Canis lupus familiaris: one gene and its partner. The protein of the gene in region 2 purifies or fractionates together with the protein of the main gene of each other region. This does not show direct contact. Links are inferred from orthologs where the notes say so. Each region holds a gene or a part of one and is shown on either strand. Other genes may lie near its edges.

What was found.
Region 1: the proteins of AP1M1 (region 2) and ATG9A purify together in Homo sapiens (affinity purification with western blotting, with the first as the bait; 3 studies listed by BioGRID). This does not show direct contact. The link is inferred for Canis lupus familiaris from reciprocal best matches to the Homo sapiens genes AP1M1 and ATG9A.

Annotation. Positions count from the first base shown.
Region 1 is NC_049258.1:25,643,299-25,646,985, forward strand, and holds the end of ATG9A (autophagy-related protein 9A), read right to left. Parts: coding exon 3,588-3,687; intron 3,465-3,587; coding exon 3,347-3,464; intron 2,907-3,346; coding exon of another isoform or gene 2,823-2,906; exon of another isoform or gene 2,646-2,822; intron 2,549-2,645; coding exon 2,326-2,548; intron 2,151-2,325; coding exon 2,005-2,150; intron 1,663-2,004; coding exon 1,657-1,662; 3' UTR 594-1,656; downstream 1-593. UniProt on the Homo sapiens protein: Phospholipid scramblase involved in autophagy by mediating autophagosomal membrane expansion. Cycles between the preautophagosomal structure/phagophore assembly site (PAS) and the cytoplasmic vesicle pool and supplies membrane for the growing autophagosome.
Region 2 is NC_049241.1:46,687,712-46,691,525, reverse strand, and holds part of AP1M1 (AP-1 complex subunit mu-1), read left to right. Parts: intron 1-519; coding exon 520-667; intron 668-2,232; coding exon 2,233-2,268; intron 2,269-3,814. UniProt on the Homo sapiens protein: Subunit of clathrin-associated adaptor protein complex 1 that plays a role in protein sorting in the trans-Golgi network (TGN) and endosomes.

The DNA of each region.
Region 1 (3,687 bases), on a different chromosome or scaffold from region 2:
GCCGCGGGGTCCCGGGTCATGGACCCGAGGGGCGCCGAGCCGCGGGGGCCTCGCGCAGGGGCACACGTGGGCCCGCCCACGCTCCCCCCGCTCCCCTGCCCCGCGCACGCGCCGCCGCCGCGCACTCACGCAGGGCACGCACGCCCTCCTCGCGCGTCCGTCCGCCCCCCGCTCGCCGCCCGGGACCCTCCGGCCGCGTCCGGGCCCAAGGAATGTGGAGCGTGCGGCCGGCGCGGCGCCGGCGCGGCAGCCCCGCCCACGGGGCGGCCCCAGCCCCTACCGGGGCCCCCATTGGCCAGCCTCGCCGAGGGGGCGGGGCGCGGGGAGAGCGTGCACGCGGAAAAGGCAAAATACAGGGGCGGGGCCGGCCCGGTCACGTGCTCAGAGCGCGAAATCTGACCGCACGTCCGACCCGAGACCTTGACCTCCGCGGCGCGGCGCTGGGAGGTGGTCCTGCTCGCTGGCCCGCCCGGTGTATCCGAGTGACGGCGTCGGCCCACCTTCCCACCGCCCGGCCGGGCCCCCACCAGCAGGGGGCTCGCCCGCACCCCACTCCGCTCCTTCCCGGGATCCCAGCCGCGCGACGCAACAAGCCCGGTCAAAGTCCCTTTTTTATTAAGGGTTATCAAGCTGTACACAGTTCCTACGCCTTCCGCTGTGAGCCCGGGCAGCGCCGCGTTCCACGCCCGCAGCGGCCCGGGCGGGCGAGGGGTGGGGCGGAGAGTAGGAGCTGGGTCCCAGCATGCAATGCGGCAGCTCACAGCCTCGGGCGCAGGCCTCCTGTCGCCCCTCCAGCCCCGGGGGGAACAGCGGGAGGCAGCCCAGAGCTCTCTTGCTGGGAGGTAGACAGCCGAGGGCACAACCAGCCCAGTCCGTCCTTTGTGCAGGCGGTTAAGGGGTACAATAAGCAGCAATGGAGGCCAGGACGGCCTCAGTCTCTCAGGGGCCCTGCTTCAAACTTGGAGAGGGCAGCAAAGAACTTCCATCCTGCTCCTGCCTTTTAGAAACCTTCCTTCGTAGTGTCAAAAGGTAGCATGAGAGGAGCTGGGAGCTAGGGTCTCCACACCAGTGCGAAGCAAAAGCTGAACAGAACGGGAGCAAGCGAACAGAACAGAGTAAGCGGCATACATGCCTGTCATGTGCAGGAAGCAGGAGAGGTGAGCAGGCTGTAGCACTGGGAGAGAACTGGGGGTGAGGTAAGGGCCACAGCCTGAGCTACTCATCTGTTCGGGGTGGGGGAGGGAGGCTGCAGAGGTTGAGGGTCCGGGCCCAACCTCCCCACTCCACAGTTGGCACAGGTTCTCCCTGCTTGGCAGCTTCTGTGGTGGGCAGTCCTCTGGAGACTTGCAGGGGTGGGTGCAAAGGTGGCAGTACTGGGGCTGGACCGGGGACCAGTTTCTAGCACCACACTCTGAGCCAAGGGGGGTCCTGGGGATGAGGCTAGAGTCCTGTGTGCCTTGGTTCCTAGGCCCCCAATTTCTCTCCTGGGGCTGCGGCAAGCCCAGCGTTGGCACCTCCCTTGGCCAGGCACAGACACACAAACACCACACACGTGGAGCCAGGCAACAGTCAGAGGAGCCCTCCATGGCGGGCAGATGGGATGGCAGGGCAACCGTGGCCTCCATCCTGGGACATAGGGACCCTCCTCAGCCTTGTCTATACCTGTAGAGAGAAAAGGGTCAGTAGTGGAGACCATCTTCAGCTATCTGCTTACCACCTTCCTGCAAAAAAGCAAAACAAAAACACACACACACACACACACACACACACACACACAAAACCTTGGAGATAAATGAAGGGGAAAGCTTGATTCCAGGGGAGGAAAGTGAAGGGGAAAATTAAGCCCTGGATTCCAGAGTAGGGGAGGCAAAAAATGGGAGTGTATTTTGGAGGGGAAGGGACAGTACCTCCATACGAGAGGCCTGCCTTCTTTCACAGGAGACTTTGATCTCAGCCTGGAAGTTACTACATCTGGTAGCTGTTCTCCAGTCCTGGGGCCCTTACCTTGTGCACCTGAGGGGGAAGCTCATCCTCCGAGCCCTCCTCGGGCACCGGCTCTGGGTGCCTTGATGCTGACTGCCCATCTTCAGCCCACCCTCCAAGGGGCAGCCGGGAGAAGTGAGAGGGAGCCCGGGGTACCGTGCCAGGATCTAGAGACACAAGTAAACATGGTCTTAGAACGAACACAAATGTGGAGCAAGGTTCTGGGGCTGTTCAAGGTGGGGGTAAGGGTTAGTCTCTTTGGGCTTGATCCCTCTGACTTCTTTCCTCCCCAAGAGGCCCCCCCAAAGAGCCACTGTACCCTGCTGTACCCCCGTTGGATACCTGTGATACCCCCATAGCGCCTCTGGAAGCCCCCCTGCAGGGCGGTGGTCTCGGGTGCTCCAGGCCGGGGTGCAGCACAGGGATAGCTGGCAGAGCGGGGGATAGGTTGGGAGGCCCGGGAGCCCTCTCCCCCCTCTTCAGGGGCGCTCTCCCCACTCTCATCGCTCTCCCGGCGATGCCACACATGCCGCTCAGGCTCGGCCTGGGCTTGCTGTTTATGGAGCTGAGAAGTGTGGGGAGTGGAGGGTGACACTCATTAGTTAAGGCTAGGATATCTGAAACAGCTGCCCCCACTACACTGTTCCAAATGTTCCCATTTCTGGCACCGCGCCCAGAATCACTGACCCAGAGTAACTATCTTATTAACAGTGTGTAAGACACATACGACATCTTATAGGTTAAACTCTCAGCAGATCCCTGGAACGAACCTGTTGCATAAGTTGTGATGGCACTCGTTTTGCCTAGTCATTTGAGTCAAGAACAAGTTGGTGGTACATCTAAGTGCCAGGCACTCTTTCAAGGTGCCAGGAAGATAGCACTGAACAACAGACAAAAATCTCAGCCCTTGTTTGGCTTGTATGCTGGAGGCAGAGGTGGTGCGGGGGGATCAGAGACAATAAAATAAAAGAGGGAAAATGCAATAGATCAGATAAATGCTACAGAGAAAAATAAAAGCAGGGAGAGTCGGGGGTGGCCAAGGGAGACTCTTTTGGTCAGGGTGGCCAGAGACGTCTCATGGAACAGTTAAGAACAGACAGGTGATTAAAGGAGGGAGCCATAAGCATATCTAGGGAAGTGGATTCTTGGCAAGGGAAATAGCAAATGTGTCAAGGCCCCGGATGACAATAAGCTTGCCTAAAAATGGATGGCAAAAGGGTATCTGCAGGAATGGAGCTTAGAGTAGGTGAATAACAGACAAGGGTTCCAGACCCATGTCTTGCTTTTCCTTGCCTAGAACCCTCTATTCTATTTGTCAGTGGCCAGCTTGACTCTGTGGCTCTGCCCCTTGCTGCCCACTCACCTGGTGCATATAGAGGGCGTGCAGGCTCATCTCGGTGGATGCGTACTCCGACAGCACCAGGCTCTGCAGCTGTCCTTCCCACACGCTGCTCCCGGAGCTGGCTGTCCTGGCATCCACCCTGTCCCTCCCAGCACAGACAGACCGCAGCCGTCAACATTTCTAAGAGCCCCAAAGTTACTGGGGCGGGGGGGGGGGGGGGGGGGATTGCCACGCCCTTCCACCGAGGCCCATCTCTACTCACCCAGAGCCTGTCATGGTGCTAGGAGCTCGGCCTGCGGGAACCTGACCGGGGTGCAGAGGGGAGAAGGAGCGCAGGGCAGAGGCGACTTCGGCCCTGTGCC
Region 2 (3,814 bases):
CTCGGGAGTCACCAATATTTGTTTCCACCGTCCTACATGAGAGAAAAGCACATTCTTCTTTGCAGTCGTGTGCTTCACACTTGGGGGCAGGTGAATTAAGGACTTCCCATGCGAGCACTTCCCCTTCACTCTTTTCAGAGTCTGGAGTGCTGCTCCCTGTTTCACATGGCACAGAGGGGCACTCAGAGAAGCCACATAACTGGCCCACATCTCACACCTGTTGTTCCCCAAGTGGTATTGGGGTCACCAGCTTCTCCCCCAAGGGTCAGTCCCCTCTGCACATCGAGCAGAAGAGCAAATTCAGGTCCCCTCCTTGCACCATCCCTCAAGTGAAAAATGAACACTCTATGCTCATTGTAACTCAAGTTTGTCAGGGCTTTATGGACACATTGTAAGATATTCTTGTATTAAACAGCTCAGGTGAAACCAGAGCCTGCCTTTTCTGGAACCTGCTCTAGGGAGGGAATGTTTTCAAAATGTCAGTGCCTGAACTCCTTAACTCTTGGCACGGTCCCACAGGTACATCACTCAGGAAGGCCACAAGCTGGAGACGGGGGCCCCGAGGCCCCCAGCCACTGTCACCAATGCAGTGTCCTGGCGGTCCGAGGGCATCAAGTACCGGAAGAATGAGGTGTTCTTGGATGTCATCGAGTCTGTCAACCTCTTGGTAGGCTTCCTTTCCTTCCTTTTCTTTCAGAAAAATTTTGTCTTTTCCATGGTTGAAATAAAAGCACTGGGACTTTTAAAACTAGCAAGGCGCTGAGAGACATTTACTTTCTTTATGACAGCAGATCAGCAGGGTTCAGCTTAGGCCACTCATGGCTGAGCCTCTTTTCTCTCCACTAGCTTGTGTTCCTGTTTAGAATCAATGCAGACACATCGTGGCTGTCACTCTTTAAAGCAGTGTGGAGAGTTAGCAGAGTGTTCCATTTTCAGAAAGACCACCTCATTTAAGATTTATTAGCATCCTTTTGGACCTCATTCTGTAAATTCACAAACATGCACTGTTCTTTCCATGAAGCCGAGAGCGTAGGATGTGGTTCTGCAACTTGTTTTATTATTGTTGTTTGACTGTGTATGTTTGCTTTTTCCTTTTATTTTTTAAATTTTCACTAATAAAATTGACCTTCTTTTCTGTTAATTTCTGCACATGTACAGATTTTTGTACCCCAGTGCCATAATCAGGAGCTACATCCCCTCTAAGCCCTCCCTACTGCCGCCCTCGGCAGTCTGACCCTTCCGCCTCTCCCCCCACTGCTGGCAGCCACCACTCCAGTCCCTGGCACTGCACAGTTTCTCTTCCCCAGTCAGCCATGGTCCTCAGTCAGAATGTCCTCCTCCTGACTATTGTCAGAGGGTCAGTGGCCACCTCACACTACATCACAAGGCTTATGTCATTCACCTCACTTTACGTTGTCATGTAGGCGCTTTGTCCTCTGACATCATCACAAGAACGGTGGGTAACAGTACAATCAGGTGTTTTGAGAGAGAAAGAAACTACATCCACTTACCTTTTATTATAGTATATTGTTCTAATTGTCCCATGTCACAATTAATTCATTGTGAATCTCTTACCGTGCCTGATTTATAAATTAAATTTTATAAATTAAAATTTATTAGAGATCTATATAGGAAAAAACATAGTATATATAGGATTTGGTACTGTCTGCAGTTTCAGGCATCCACTGGGGGTCTTGGAGCATATTTCCTGCAGATAAGGAGGACAACTCTAGAATGTTGTCTTTTTGAGATTGTCCTATGAATGGCATTGTACAGTATGTGGCCTATTGAGTCTGGCTTCTTCCTTTTTTTTTTTTTTTTTTTTTTTTTTAAGATTTTATTTATTTGTTCATGAGAGAGAGAGAGAGAGAGAGGCAGAGACACAGGCAAAGGGAGAAACAGGCTCCCTGCAAGGAGCCCAATGTGGGACTTGATCCCGGATCCCAGGATCACGCCCTGAGCCAAAGGCAGATGCTCAACCACTGAGCCACCCAGGCGTCCCTGGCTTCTTCCACTTAGCATAATGTCTTTGAGATAGATCCAAGTTACTACGTTTACCAGAAGTTTGTTTCTTCTTATATTTATTTTATATCCTGAAGCATACCTTGTTTACCCATTCAACCTATTGAAGGACTTTTGGGTTTTTTTCCAGTGTTGGGCAGTTGTGAATAGAGTTGCTATAAATGTTTCACATCCAGGTTTATGTGTAGACAGAAGTTTTCATTTCTCTAGGGAAAACACCCAGGAGTGGGATTGCTGGGTCATATGGTAAGTGTATGTTTAACTTTATAAGAAACTGCCAAATCGTTTTCCAGAGTGACTGCACCATCTTTGCCTTTTCATCAGCAGTGGATGAACATTCTGGTTGCTCCACATCCTTGATCGGTGTTTTAATTTTCGCCATCTTAATCAGTGTGTCGTGTTAGCTTATCATGGCTTTAATTTGTAATTTCCCTAATGGCTAATGATGTTAAACACCTCTTCATGTGCTTCCTTTGTCATCCACATATCATCTTCGGAGAAGTGTCTTTTCATGTCATTTGAGTATTTTTAAATTGGGTTGTTTGTTTTCTGATTGTTGCATTTTGAAAGTTCTTTATATATTCTGGATTATAAATCTCTCATCTGATATGTGATTTGCAGATGTCTTCTTCTAGTCTGTCACTTGTCTTTTCATTCTTTTGGTGCAGTATCTTTCACAGGACAAAAGTTTTTAACTTTGAGAAAGTCCAGTTACCGATTTTTTGATGTGTGCCTTTGGTGCCATGTCTGAGAACTCATCACCAAATCTAAGGTCATACAGGTTTTCTCCTGAATTTCTTCTAATAGTTTTGTAGTTTTACATTTAGATCCATGATCATTTTGAGTTAAGTTTTACATAAGGTACGAGGTTTATATGCATTTATTTTTGCATGTAGAACAGTGTTTTGCAGTTGTTCCAATATAATTTTTTGAAAAAACCATCCCATTCTCCATTAAATGCACTTGTATTTTTGTCAAAAAGCAATCGACCATATTCATGCAAGTCTATATCTGGCCTCAGATCTGTGTATCTGTTTATTTGCCAATACCACACTGTCTTGATAACTGTAACTTTATTACGTCTCCATCAGATTATGTGATTCTTCCAACATTCTTCTTTTTTGAAATTGTTGTAGCTATTTAGTCCCTTTGTATAAAATTGTAGAATCAACTTGTCTCTATCTACAAAAAGATCCTACTGGGATTTTAATTGTTATTTTATTAAATAACTGTATTAATCAGTATGGAAGAAAACTGTTATCTTTAGTATATTAAGCTTCACAATCCAAAAACGCTGTATGTGTCTTTTTCTCTCTAGGTAGGTCATCTTTGATTTCTGTCATCAACATTTGGTAGTTTTTACTACCTATACATTTTCTTTAGAGCTATACCTAAGTATTTCATTTTTTGAAGGTATCGTAAATTGTATATTTTTAATTTTATTTGGTAGAATTAATTTATTTGATAGTGAAACTATCTGAGTCTAGAAATTTCTTTTTCAGGTTTTTTTTTTTTAAGAGAGGGGAGGGGCAGAAGGAGAGGGAGAGAGAATCTTAAGTAGGCTCCACGCCCAGTGTGGGGCTCAATCTCACAACCTGAGATCATGACCTAGGCCAAAAGCAAGAGTCAGATGCTTAACCAACAGATACACCCAGGCATTCCTTTTTCAGCATATTTTTAACTACAAATTTCAATCCTCTTAACGGTTATACGATTCAGGTTTTTGGTTTCATCTTGGTTGAGTTTTGGTAGTTTATTTTTAAGAAGCTGGTCCGTTTTATCAAAGTCATTG